Linked DNA regions of Arabidopsis thaliana. The protein of the gene in region 1 interacts with the protein of each later gene in a pairwise test. Each region holds a gene or a part of one and is shown on either strand. Other genes may lie near its edges.

Region 1 (7,145 bases):
TTTGACCAAGGTTAGTGGTAGACACATCCGATGCACCTTGTGATTGAATTTCAAACCTTGCCTGTTGAGATATCCACAATTTTTCTTCATCCTCTGTCAATCTGGATATAGATAAGTCCAAAGGCTGCTGAATCTCTGGCTGATCCCGAAGAGTATCCCAATCTCTTTGAGGAGTGGCAAGTCGCCCTGTCCCTTGAAAATAGAGCTGCAGAGACGAGGTATCTTTTCGTCGTTGCCGTCATTAGCTTATTCTTAAAAACAGTGCTTATGAGGAAACCTTTTTAATTGAATTGTGGGACTTAAGCCATTTAGAGTCATGTGTCTGTATTACATAGCAAGGTAGCCGTCATGTATTTGCTTATAATTTGAATTTATACCCGTATAAACATAAGCCGAATGTCGATTTCATTTTTTCAGGATCCTCATAAACAAAGTATTTTTGTTGACTTATCTTGCAGGGGCGTCCATCCTCCTGCTGGGGATTATTGTAGTCATGCAGACAGAGATCATACAACTTTAGTGGATGCTTTTAGAATTATGCAAATAGAGGAAGAGGGTCGACTTGAGCAAGGGGATGTTCTCGACGAGGTATGCATGTTTACATTACATGCATTGAAGAGGATTGTCTTTTACCCATGATATCCAATCCAATGGTCTTGGCCATGGTGGACAATGGTAGGATCATTAATTCTACTGTCGCTGCTTCATTTGTTGTGAACAGGTTGGGGAAGAGGGGGAAGATGGAGAGGAAGAGGAGGAGGAGGATCGTCAGGAAGAGAGTAGTGATGGGAGACAGCAGAATGTGGAAGAAGAGGCTGTTGTGGTGGACGCTGACTCTACGGATGGTGCTGTGCTAGTTAATGGTAACGAGTCTGAAGAACAGTGGGGTAAGATTAGTGAAGGAACCGCATCAGCCTTATAGCATTTGTGGTTATCAATTGATTATAAGATGTCGCTGCACCAAAATATCCTTTTGCCATCTGCACATATATCATAGGATTTGCGTTTGCATCTGTCCATCAATGTTTCCTCATCTGTCTGCCTCCCATCTTCGTCTTACTGATCATCTTACTTTTGATGTTGACTGTCTTTTAAATAGTGCTTCTCTATGCCATTAACTTTTTTATCAATCCGTGGACTGATTAAATATTTGTTTGTTGTACAGTTCTAACACCGCCACAAGAGTAGGGTTGGTGAAGAGTGAAGACATACACAGATAGATATTTTCTTGGCTTTGAAACTTGATACATTCAGCAGAGAAATGAGGCAGCACAGAGAGAGATTAGTTTCCATTGTTAAAAAACTGATCTATTGATAGCTTCCGCTTTGTGCTTTTAATACAGATACATATTAAAAAAAAAGGGGGTTTTGGGACTCTTATGTAGCTTTAACTTATGAGAGATTTCACCTGTAGAATATCTGTTTTGAACTGAGATTTCACCCATATAATATGTTTTGACTTTCGATTCAATAGGTTATGTAGTTGATATCTTTTTTTTTTTTGCAAAACTCAATAGCAGTAGCAAAAAACTTAATTGGAAATAATCAAAGTGAAGGGATAAGTTGGGAAAGAGCCAGAGGATAACGCATGGTGCATTATTATTAGTATTGTGGAGGAGACGCATCTCGAAACATCTCTCAAAGCAAACAAGGACCCAAAACAAAGTTCCTTGCATTCTTCCACTGTCCGTAATCACCATCACCATATCATTATTCTTCTACCCATTTTGTCTTGGAAATGATTTTAAATTTTCTTGTTGCTTCTTACTGCAAACTGTGTATAGGTTCAACTACTCCATTGAGTTACACACTTGCATGCACCTATGGAAGTTAATTTTCCGGTTTTGATTGATATTCAAGTTGTTGACCAATGGAGTTATATACCCTTGATTTATATAGAAACCACATGTTTTATTTATATTAACATGGTCACTTTTGTCAGGATTAATAGACAACAATAGTTGAGAGAAAAAGTGATAAGGTAGAGCTAATTTGTATTAAACTTATCAATTAGTATTGTTGGTTAAAAAAAAGTTAATAAAGTAGTCAAGTTGGATAATTCCCAAAAACTGGGAAAAAAGAACTCAAGCGTCAAATGTTGTAGGTGCATCATCATCAGTCTACAAGTAGTAAAAAACCCATTCGATTTGATAAGAAGACCCAACGGAAAGAGTCTTCCCGTCTACAAAGTAAACCCAATCAATCTTAATAATCTTTAAGAGGTTTTTTCTTATTATAATTATCTATCTCTCTATCTATCTATCTGCGGATCTCTCATGAAGAAACACTGAGGAGATTCTCTCGCTCTGATCTCCTGGTATCGTCGTCTCTCTCCGTAGAGATATACTAGTTTGTCCCATATCCGATTGATTGCTCTATTCAATTTATTCCTCTTCTAGGTTTTCGGTTTGGCCCTCCGATTTAGAGGGATTGATGGCCCCTGATGGCGTTGAAGACTCCGACTATGAGAGTGATCCCGACGAGTTGAACCGCTCCTTGGCTACACGGAGGAGAGAAGCCAGCGATGATGATGAGGATGATGAAGAAGCGGACGACCATGATAAGCTGCGAGCAGCAATCCAGATTCATTCCGATGAACACAGTGGTGTTGTTGTTGTCGACTCTGATGATAATGAAGGATTGCACATAGAAGATAGTTATGGTGATGATGACGACGAAGAGGAAGATGGTGATTATGGACAAGTTGATGACCATGTCGAATACATTGCGGATAATAATGACAAGACAATTGTCGCCGGCAATGGGACCGATGACTCTGCCGCCACTGATCTTGTGGATGGAGAGGAACAAAAGAAGAAGGAACCTTTTGCAGTGCCTACTGCTGGAGCTTTCTATATGCATGATGACAGATTTCAGGAATTGGATGCCGCCTCTAATAGGTAAACTCTTTTTGATTCTATGAGGAGGTAGTGTTTTGTCCAAACTATGCAAATGTATCTATCTACTATTGAGGTAGAGTACATTGATAGGTGAAATTAGCAAACGACTTTCCGTCATTCAATCTCATGATGTACTTCAGAGTTCAGATAGATTGGAACAACTGCTTTGGTTTTATGTTTTAACTTTGATTGTGAATCTTTATGTATGAATCTACCCGAGATGCCATCACACTGCTATTTTTCCATTTAACATTCTGTTTAGTTACATGGTAATGCCAACCGATATAGGTTTTCGTTTTTTATTTCTGTAGGCGAATGCGTGGTGGTAGGAGGCTCTGGCAATCCAGAGATGAAAGAAAGTGGGGACATGACAAATTCGAGGAAATGAATACACAGAAACAGCAATATGATGTACTTTTCTCTGATCATCTCTCTTTCTCTTTCTCTCCTTTTCATAAATATATTTGTATTCATCGACTTGTTTCCTCTTGCTGTGTTTATACATTTGCCACCTCTTTTTTCTTTTTCCTTTTTTTTTTCCTTTTGAAAGCTGATTAATTAAACTTGTGAACATAGAGGAGGACTTCGAGAGGCCGAGGCAGAGGTCGTGGTCAGGGTAGGGGTCAGGACCGTGGACAGTCTCGGGGGAACAATTCTAAAGAATTTACTGGCAATGGACACCAAAATCAGTTTCCGAAGGCTGTCACGAGAGGGAGGGGGGCCAGAAGATATGAGGTTGCATTGAGAAATGGGAATCAAGCACCTTCTGTGCAAACCAAACAGTGAGTCCTTAATTTTGTTTCCTCTCTAGTCAACACATGAAGGCTCTAGGTCTCTAATTGTTGTGTCTTTTTACGGAATCTTTAGGTCCCAAAATTCGTCTGTGGAAGTGTCACACGTTGATTTAGGGCGTCCACCAACAGAAACAGCTACCTTAGAGACTGAAGCCATCCAAGCCAAAAAGAATGTATTTGCTTCAAGTTTAAATTCAGCTTCTCCTCCATTTTATCCTTCAAGATCCAACAATAACTTGGCACAAAAGGATGTACAAGCTGGCATGGGTAGGCTGCACATTAATGAAAACCCTAATCCGACTGGAAAGAAGTTTGGGAATACAAAATCCAGCTCCTTGTGGGGACGCACTGCTCAGACTACAAGTCATGGTAGAGGTGTACCTCCTCATGGGCAAGTGCTTTACCAGCAATCTCCTAATCAAGGTGACAAAGTTTCTTCGCCGATGCAAATCCGTGGAATGCCTAAAGGCACTGACCAGAGCTGTACTCAACTTCCTGGTCAGGTTTTTAATCAACATTCGGCTGTTATCAGTTTGCTGCCTTCTTCTCCTCCAAAAACCGGATCATCAGAAAATCCGTATCTTTCTGGTGAAATAGAGTCAGCCGTAGAAACAGGTGCTTTGGTTGCCAAGGGAAAAGGGTCTCTCCAACCTAGTGGAAGGGGATCTTTTATGTATGGAGGGACACAGTTTATGGGCCCTGCCGGGATGGCAGCTGGTCACGGCAATCCAAATTTCCCTGCTTTTCTACCTGGTAAGTTGTTCTTGAATGTCATTGTTCATCCTACATTGTAATGGTTGAAAGACATCTTTCAGAATCAATCTATGCATGCTAGTGAAATTGAGAGCTATTGATGCTGAGCCGCTTGGCCTGGTTGCCCATGTCTAGGGCCGCTTGAGAACGGCACCTTTTTGTACAGGTGCTAATATGCACGCCTGACTAGTTTAAACTTGTTTGTTTTCATTTTCATGTTCAGTTATGCAATTCGGTGGTCAGCATGGTGGGGTTCCAACTTTTGGAATGGCTCTTCCAGGTTATTTCCAACCAGAACATGGTACCGGAAATCCTGAGATGACATGGTATGCAGTTCCACAGCTATGTTTTAAAAGTTATATATTTGGTGCATTCTTAGTTGACTTGCTGCATGCTTTTGTAATTTGAGAGGATGTTTAATCTTGTAACTAGTCTTTTACTAGCCCAAACAGAACCTGAATTATTGCTTTCACTCGTCTGCTGTTTGTTTTTTGTTTGATTTCCCTATTTCTCTATCTATAGTAGGTCCTTATTACTGCTATTATTTTCTTAAATTATTGACAGGCTGCCAATTTTGGCTGGCCCTGGAGCATTAGGGGGTTCATATTGTCCACCTTATACTGTCCTTGATGGTTCTTACCAAGCAGACAAACCAGGGTTACCTTCCTCTGCCGGATCGTCCAGGTTTAGAAATAATTTTCTCAGTATTGTTAATCAACATGTCATTTCCATATGCATATGTGTAGACTCTTTGCTTTTTACCTTAGAGGAAGAGTAGTATGGGAATGCAGCTTTAAGCCCTTAACTAAGTAACGTATGTGAGATTTTAGATTTGTGGTTCCTCTTATTCTAGACCCACTGCAAAATGCTTGTTACCTGTTAGATTTACATTTCTTAAGTGCTTAGATTAGTAGTTTCTCGACTATGTACACCCAGAAACATGTAGTTTTCATTAAACAGACTCACTTTCTTGGTTGGGCACTCATGTAACCATGTCAATCATCTCTGATTATGAGCGTCTAGTAAAGCATATAATTTGAGCTCAAGTACCCAATTACCTTATATTTTTGATTTTTTGTTGCAGCCAAGAGAACAGTTCCAATAATCCTAATGATGAAGAGCCCATGGAGAGACCTGGTAAGTAATAACTCTTGCCAATTAAATGGGGTTGTTATAATGGATTCAGAAGATTTTGTTGTGTTTTGGCGAATAAGAAATTTGAATGATTACATGGAGAGACTGATTCGTATGGGGGTTTATTGATGTAGAGGTTACGAACAATGGGAATTCTCAACGGTCAAATAGCAACCCAAACAAGCAGCCTCGTAGGTGAGTTTTGAAGCAATCTAGTTTATTTATCGGTCAGTGTTAGTGTGACGTGAAACCACCTTGAAATCAAAGTACCACAGGAGTAGTTGGATACAGATATTTGTGGAAATGAAATGTTAATATTGGTCCAGGATGAAATGAAACACTAACGAGCACATGTTGACGAGGGATGTGCAGATACTCGGAGATGAGCTTTAGCAAGTGAGTAAAGAAGAGTGGAAAGGAAGAAGGTCATCTAATTTGACTAAGTGGAGTGAAAGGAGGAGGGTGAGAGAGAAGAGCTCCTTAGGAGCAGCAGGCCCTTGGTGCTTCTCCAACTGCTTTATGAAGCCGTTTGGGCTGCTATTATTGTTACCTATTTTTATTAGGTACGCAATTTCTCTCAAGATACCAATTGAAGAGAGGTTTTAACCACATTATAATTTGAACTTGTGTTTGCTGTTTTGTTTTCAGGAGGTTGTTGTGCAATTGAAAAGAATTTTTGTTTTGTTTTCGTTGTTATGAGAGCTTGAGCTTGAGCCGTGGGCGTCCTTCATCTGTAATTTATTCTTTTGTCCGTTTGGGTTCAAATTGATATTTTGTAATGTTGATATGTGTTATTCTGTTTTCGTTTGTCAACTTCTTTATCAAAAGTTGTGTGCCCTATTCGTACGCCTGCGAAGTCCCCCCAAGAATTGCCCATGTTGAGTTTTGATGGTAGTTAGTTGTCTATGTTTTATATTTTACGCAAGGGGATAGTGGTGGTGCTCAGTCAAATTTACCCGATTCGTGAGAAATGAGTCATTGAGGAATTGTTACCATATATATAAAGACATGCCTCCGCTCTGGTTATTTAGTTATGCGACAAAAACAAAACAGACCGCATAGAATAGATGCAACAAACCAAGTGTATAGAAACTTTATTCCTTGGCGCAGCAAAAAAAAAAAAAGGGATAGAGTCTCCGTTGATTCAGGTAGCTCAGCGTCCTCTGAGATGAAACGATTGTTGTTGTTTGTTTGTTGATTTTAGTTTTTAGTTTAGTGGAAGATGATCGGTAATAGCGTCTACATCTCACCGTCACCGTCACCGTCCGACCACTCTCTCTCGCCCAACCCTAATCTCTGCATCTCGGCGGTTGGTTTCTACTGTCTTCCTTTCTCTCTCTCTATTTACTACAAATTTTGATTTCAATTTGGGTTTCCGATTTCGATTTCAATTTTGAATTTGATGGTCTTCAGATGGAAGAGCAGCTGGTTGTTGATGATGATGATGATGACCTTGCTCCTCCTCCAATCCCTGATCTCGATATTGACCTTGAAGATGATGATGACGCCTGTTGTCACGGCTTGCTTCATATCGCACCTAATCACGAAGAAGAAACTGGATGCG
Region 2 (4,266 bases), on another chromosome or scaffold:
TATCTGACGGATTCAAATTTGACATATAAGAATCGGGGAAAAGAAAATGTAGAACTGGTTATAGCCAAATGCAAGAAGATATGTGATGCAATAAGATAGTTTGACATGAGCATAAATGTGATAGACATATGCTTAGATTAGTAGAAGAAGCAGACAGGGCTTATCTAGTATAAGTGGGATAAGCATAATATGTGAACGGCCCACATCCTCACAAAGCCAAGTCCAACTATCACAAGATTCACTCATTCCACTAATAAACGTTTTCAAATTAGAATGACAGAAGAATATGATAGTTAAAACTACTCATTAATATATTGGTGATAAAATAAAATAAAATAAAATAAAATTAAACTACTCACATATAATTGGTTGGATTAGTCATTAAAGATAGCACTTAGCAAATCAAAGTAAAAACAAATACTCACTACTAATAATAAATTAACCGGAAGCAAAGGGACAAGAAGTATTGATGGACAGTAATATCACGTGAAGGGGCACGTGATGACCCAATAATCGGTTAACACGTAACCAATCCCCTCGTGGGACTCTATCCTAGTCTCTAGGCACCACCCCACCCCTCACATAAAACCATCGTTCCATTTTGGTTTTAGGCCGACCTATCGGTTTTTCATTTTCGTATAAAACAAAACAAAACAAAACAAATTTACATTCAACAAAAAAAAAAAAAAAAAAAAACCAAATTACAAAAATAATTAAGAATGGGGCCCACATGAAGGGGTCGATAATTGAAGCAAGGGTGACTCATCTTGAGGATAGGACCCTCTAAGCTCGCCACTTGTTTCCTCATTACTCAGCACTTTCAATTTCCCCCGAGATATTTCACGATAACTTAACCATATCGTACCGTATCGCTTTCCTATACCTGGATCCCACTAATCCATTGTGCACGGTATCGCTTATTTTAGATCTTTTTGAATTTACCTATTTACCCTCACCCCAATATCCCTCTGGCTATAAGTACCAACCTCATCTCTTCATTTCCTTCCTACAAAAATCGAACTAATCTTCCTTTTTAACAAAAGCTTCTCAAATCTTTCAAAGGTTTCCAATTTACGAAGAAAGGATCTACAACATATAATCACTATTAAAGAATGAGTTATCTGAACAAAGTGTGGATGGCAGCATCGTTCGTAGCTGTTCAAGGAAACGCCGATCACGGCGTCAAGTTAAAAAGCGGTCTCACCTCTGCTCACCGTCTCCAACGAAGACTTTCCTCCGATCTCCGTCCTCTCGCCGCCGCAGATCTAACCGGCGACTCTCTCCCTTCGGAAGAAAGACGTCGTACCTCTTCTTCCACTCCCGATGAGTCTCTCCGACAAGTCATGTACCTCAACTGCTGGGCTCAAGGCTAAATTCAGATAATGATGGTCGTGGCTCGCTCATGAACTCCGCTGAATCAGAATTTTTTTCTGATGCAAACTGTATATAGTTTGGTTCATCTGTGGTGGTTGACTCGTGCTTATGAAATCGCTTGAGTCGGATTTTCTGGATGCAACTGTATAGTTTGGTTACATCTCTGTGAATATTAGAATGTTCTAAAAGATCAAAGCAAGCCTTGGATTATGAGAGAACTCTGTTCATTTTCTATATCTTAAAACATCGTTCGCTCACCAACTTTATTACAATCTGGAATCTTGATTGCGATTACCACTAATTTCAACTTTATCCACAGTAAAATACGATTCTAAATTAAACAATAGTACTAAAATATTCCAAAACCATCGTTATCCAAAGAGACAGACAAGTCAGTCACTCCATAATGCTTTTATTTATTTATCTATTGTGGTTGTCATTATTGAGGTAGGTCCTATAATTCATCTTACGAGCAAACTGAAATGTTATATTCGTCGGGCCAATTGTGCGAGGAACAAGAGGCCCACAACGAGATCAGCTCTTGGGCTATTTGGCCCATTTATGTAACTTGGCTTTGAATGAAATCGGAGCGTGGCTGCTTAATCCAACGGTCCAAATCTGACGACGCTCCTTAATGGAGTAATGAGTAACGTCTCCTTCATTTCCAACGGTCAAATAATCCTCAAGAAATACTCGCTTCTTCCTTCTTCCTCCTCAAGTGTCCAATTCTTTCTCCAAACCCTAAATTTCTCGTAGAAGAAGATCAAATCGCTCTGAATATGACATCAATTGAGGCAACAGAAACGCTTAACGCTCCTCCAAAGCTTCAGATCTGGAACAACGCTGCCTTCGACGATGGAGATTCTCAAATCACTTCCGCCATCGAAGCTTCTTCTTGGTCTCACCTCAACGAATCATTCGATTCCGATTGTAGCAAGGAGAATCAGTTTCCGATTTCGGTTTCCTCTTCGCTCCAATCCTCAGTCTCGATCACCGAAGCTCCGTCAGCAAAATCCAAGACCGTGAAGACCAAATCCGCCGCAGATCGGAGTAAAAAGCGAGATATCGATGCAGAGATCGAAGAAGTAGAGAAGGAGATCGGACGATTATCGACGAAATTGGAGTCGCTCCGATTAGAGAAGGCGGAGCAAACCGCAAGAAGCATTGCTATACGTGGAAGAATCGTTCCGGCGAAGTTCATGGAATCATCTCAGAAACAAGTGAAATTCGACGATTCGTGTTTTACAGGATCGAAATCAAGAGCCACTCGTAGAGGCGTTAGTCTTGGACCAGCGGAGATATTCAATTCCGCGAAGAAATCTGAAACTGTGACTCCTCTTCAATCAGCTCAGAATCGACGCAAGTCTTGTTTCTTTAAGCTTCCTGGAATCGAAGAAGGTCAAGTGACGACACGAGGTAAAGGAAGAACGAGTTTGAGTCTGAGTCCGAGATCTCGCAAAGCGAAAATGACGGCAGCTCAGAAGCAAGCAGCTACGACGGTGGGGTCAAAGAGAGCTGTGAAGAAAGAAGAAGGAGTTCTCTTAACAATCCAGCCTAAGAGGCTATTCAAAGAAGATGAAAAGAATGTTTCTTTAAGGAAACCATTGAAACCAGGAAGAGTTGTGGCTAGTAGGTACAGTCAAATGGGTAAAACGCAGACTGGAGAGAAAGATGTTAGGAAAAGGTCGTTGCCTGAGGATGAAGAGAAAGAGAATCATAAGAGGTCGGAGAAGAGAAGAGCTTCTGATGAAAGTAACAAGAGTGAAGGGAGAGTGAAGAAGAGATGGGAGATTCCAAGTGAAGTTGATCTGTATAGCAGTGGTGAGAACGGTGACGAGTCTCCTATAGTTAAGGAGCTACCTAAGATCAGAACGCTTCGTCGTGTGGGAGGGAGCCCTCGTGATTCAGGTGCTGCTAAGAGAGTTGCAGAATTACAAGCCAAGGATCGTAACTTCACTTTTTGCCAGCTTCTGAAGTTTGAAGAATGAATGATCCGCTTATCAATTTGAGTAAAATCCACAACTCTTGTTGTGGTTACTTGATTGTGAATTTGTTTGGTTTTGATTTTGTTTTTCGGCTCGCAGAGCAAGAATCTTTGTTGGAATGCTTAATGTCTTTTCTAAATACACATTAAGATTGTGAGTTTTTGTTATCTTTTGTAAATGTCAGCTTCATGAAGAAAGATTCTTTCAAAAGGTTTTTGCTTTGCCACTCACAAACAAGAAGTTTGGCCACAGCTTTGTGAAATTTACACCAAAAACAAACGAAAAAGAGAGAGACTGTATCTTGGTTTCCTCTTAAACACATTACAAAATGCAGTATTGAGTCAGATGCGGCTTGAATCCCTCCCGAATATGTACCTCCTTGTCCAGTCCGACACCACCAGAGCCCTCGTTCGCCAGCTAACTTGCTTGCTGCATCATTCATGTTTCATGTTTCAAATTCTGTGCATTTACTATAATGAATAAAAGAGTTTCTCAGCGTTTACCTGGCATAAACAGAATACCAGAGCCACTGGGCGCTTTTTCCAGCTGAAACCCAGTCTCCAGGTAGTTCAGCTGCTGCTTGGTCCCCTCCTAGTGGAGCAAATTGTCCAAAGTGCTTGTACCTGTAATCAAGCGAAGAGCTTTCATCTCTATATCTTGGAAGTTTATGAGGATGCAAGGTCCTGAGTTCATTAGATTAGGCATACTGGAAGGGGCGAAACTGATGATGCCCGCCAGTTCTGAAGCGCTTAGGACCTTCAGGTAGCTCTTTACACTGCTCCATCCTGTTGAAGCATTTTGCAAGATAAGCACCTTGCTGGGCAGCGACCTATGCAAACAAACAAGCAGACCATTGACCCTGACATCCTAGATAAAACCCACGATTCTACGCATAGGTGAATTCACC

What was found.
Region 2: the proteins of AT1G80000 (region 1) and AT4G28230 interact in a two-hybrid assay, tested with the Arabidopsis thaliana proteins (one large-scale study listed by BioGRID).

Annotation. Positions count from the first base shown.
Region 1 is NC_003070.9:30,090,762-30,097,906, forward strand, and holds AT1G80000 (CASC3/Barentsz eIF4AIII binding protein), read left to right. Parts: upstream 1-2,045; 5' UTR 2,046-2,433; coding exon 2,434-2,900; intron 2,901-3,211; coding exon 3,212-3,311; intron 3,312-3,476; coding exon 3,477-3,682; intron 3,683-3,767; coding exon 3,768-4,447; intron 4,448-4,670; coding exon 4,671-4,773; intron 4,774-5,011; coding exon 5,012-5,131; intron 5,132-5,531; coding exon 5,532-5,584; intron 5,585-5,715; coding exon 5,716-5,776; intron 5,777-5,907; coding exon of another isoform or gene 5,908-5,917; exon of another isoform or gene 5,918-5,953; coding exon 5,954-5,981; 3' UTR 5,982-6,144; intron 6,145-6,229; 3' UTR 6,230-6,562; downstream 6,563-7,145. Other genes in the region: AT1G79990 (coatomer subunit beta-2), read left to right, coding at 1-10, 112-218, 459-588, 722-887, 1,166-1,188; FRS8 (FAR1-related sequence 8), read left to right, coding at 6,804-6,890, 6,995-7,145. UniProt on the Arabidopsis thaliana protein: Core component of the splicing-dependent multiprotein exon junction complex (EJC) deposited at splice junctions on mRNAs.
Region 2 is NC_003075.7:13,995,086-13,999,351, reverse strand, and holds AT4G28230 (uncharacterized protein), read left to right. Parts: upstream 1-2,044; 5' UTR 2,045-2,153; coding exon 2,154-3,362; 3' UTR 3,363-3,573; downstream 3,574-4,266. Other genes in the region: AT4G28240 (Wound-responsive family protein), read left to right, coding at 1,113-1,373; NDB1 (NAD(P)H dehydrogenase B1), read right to left, coding at 3,701-3,788, 3,863-3,982, 4,067-4,188.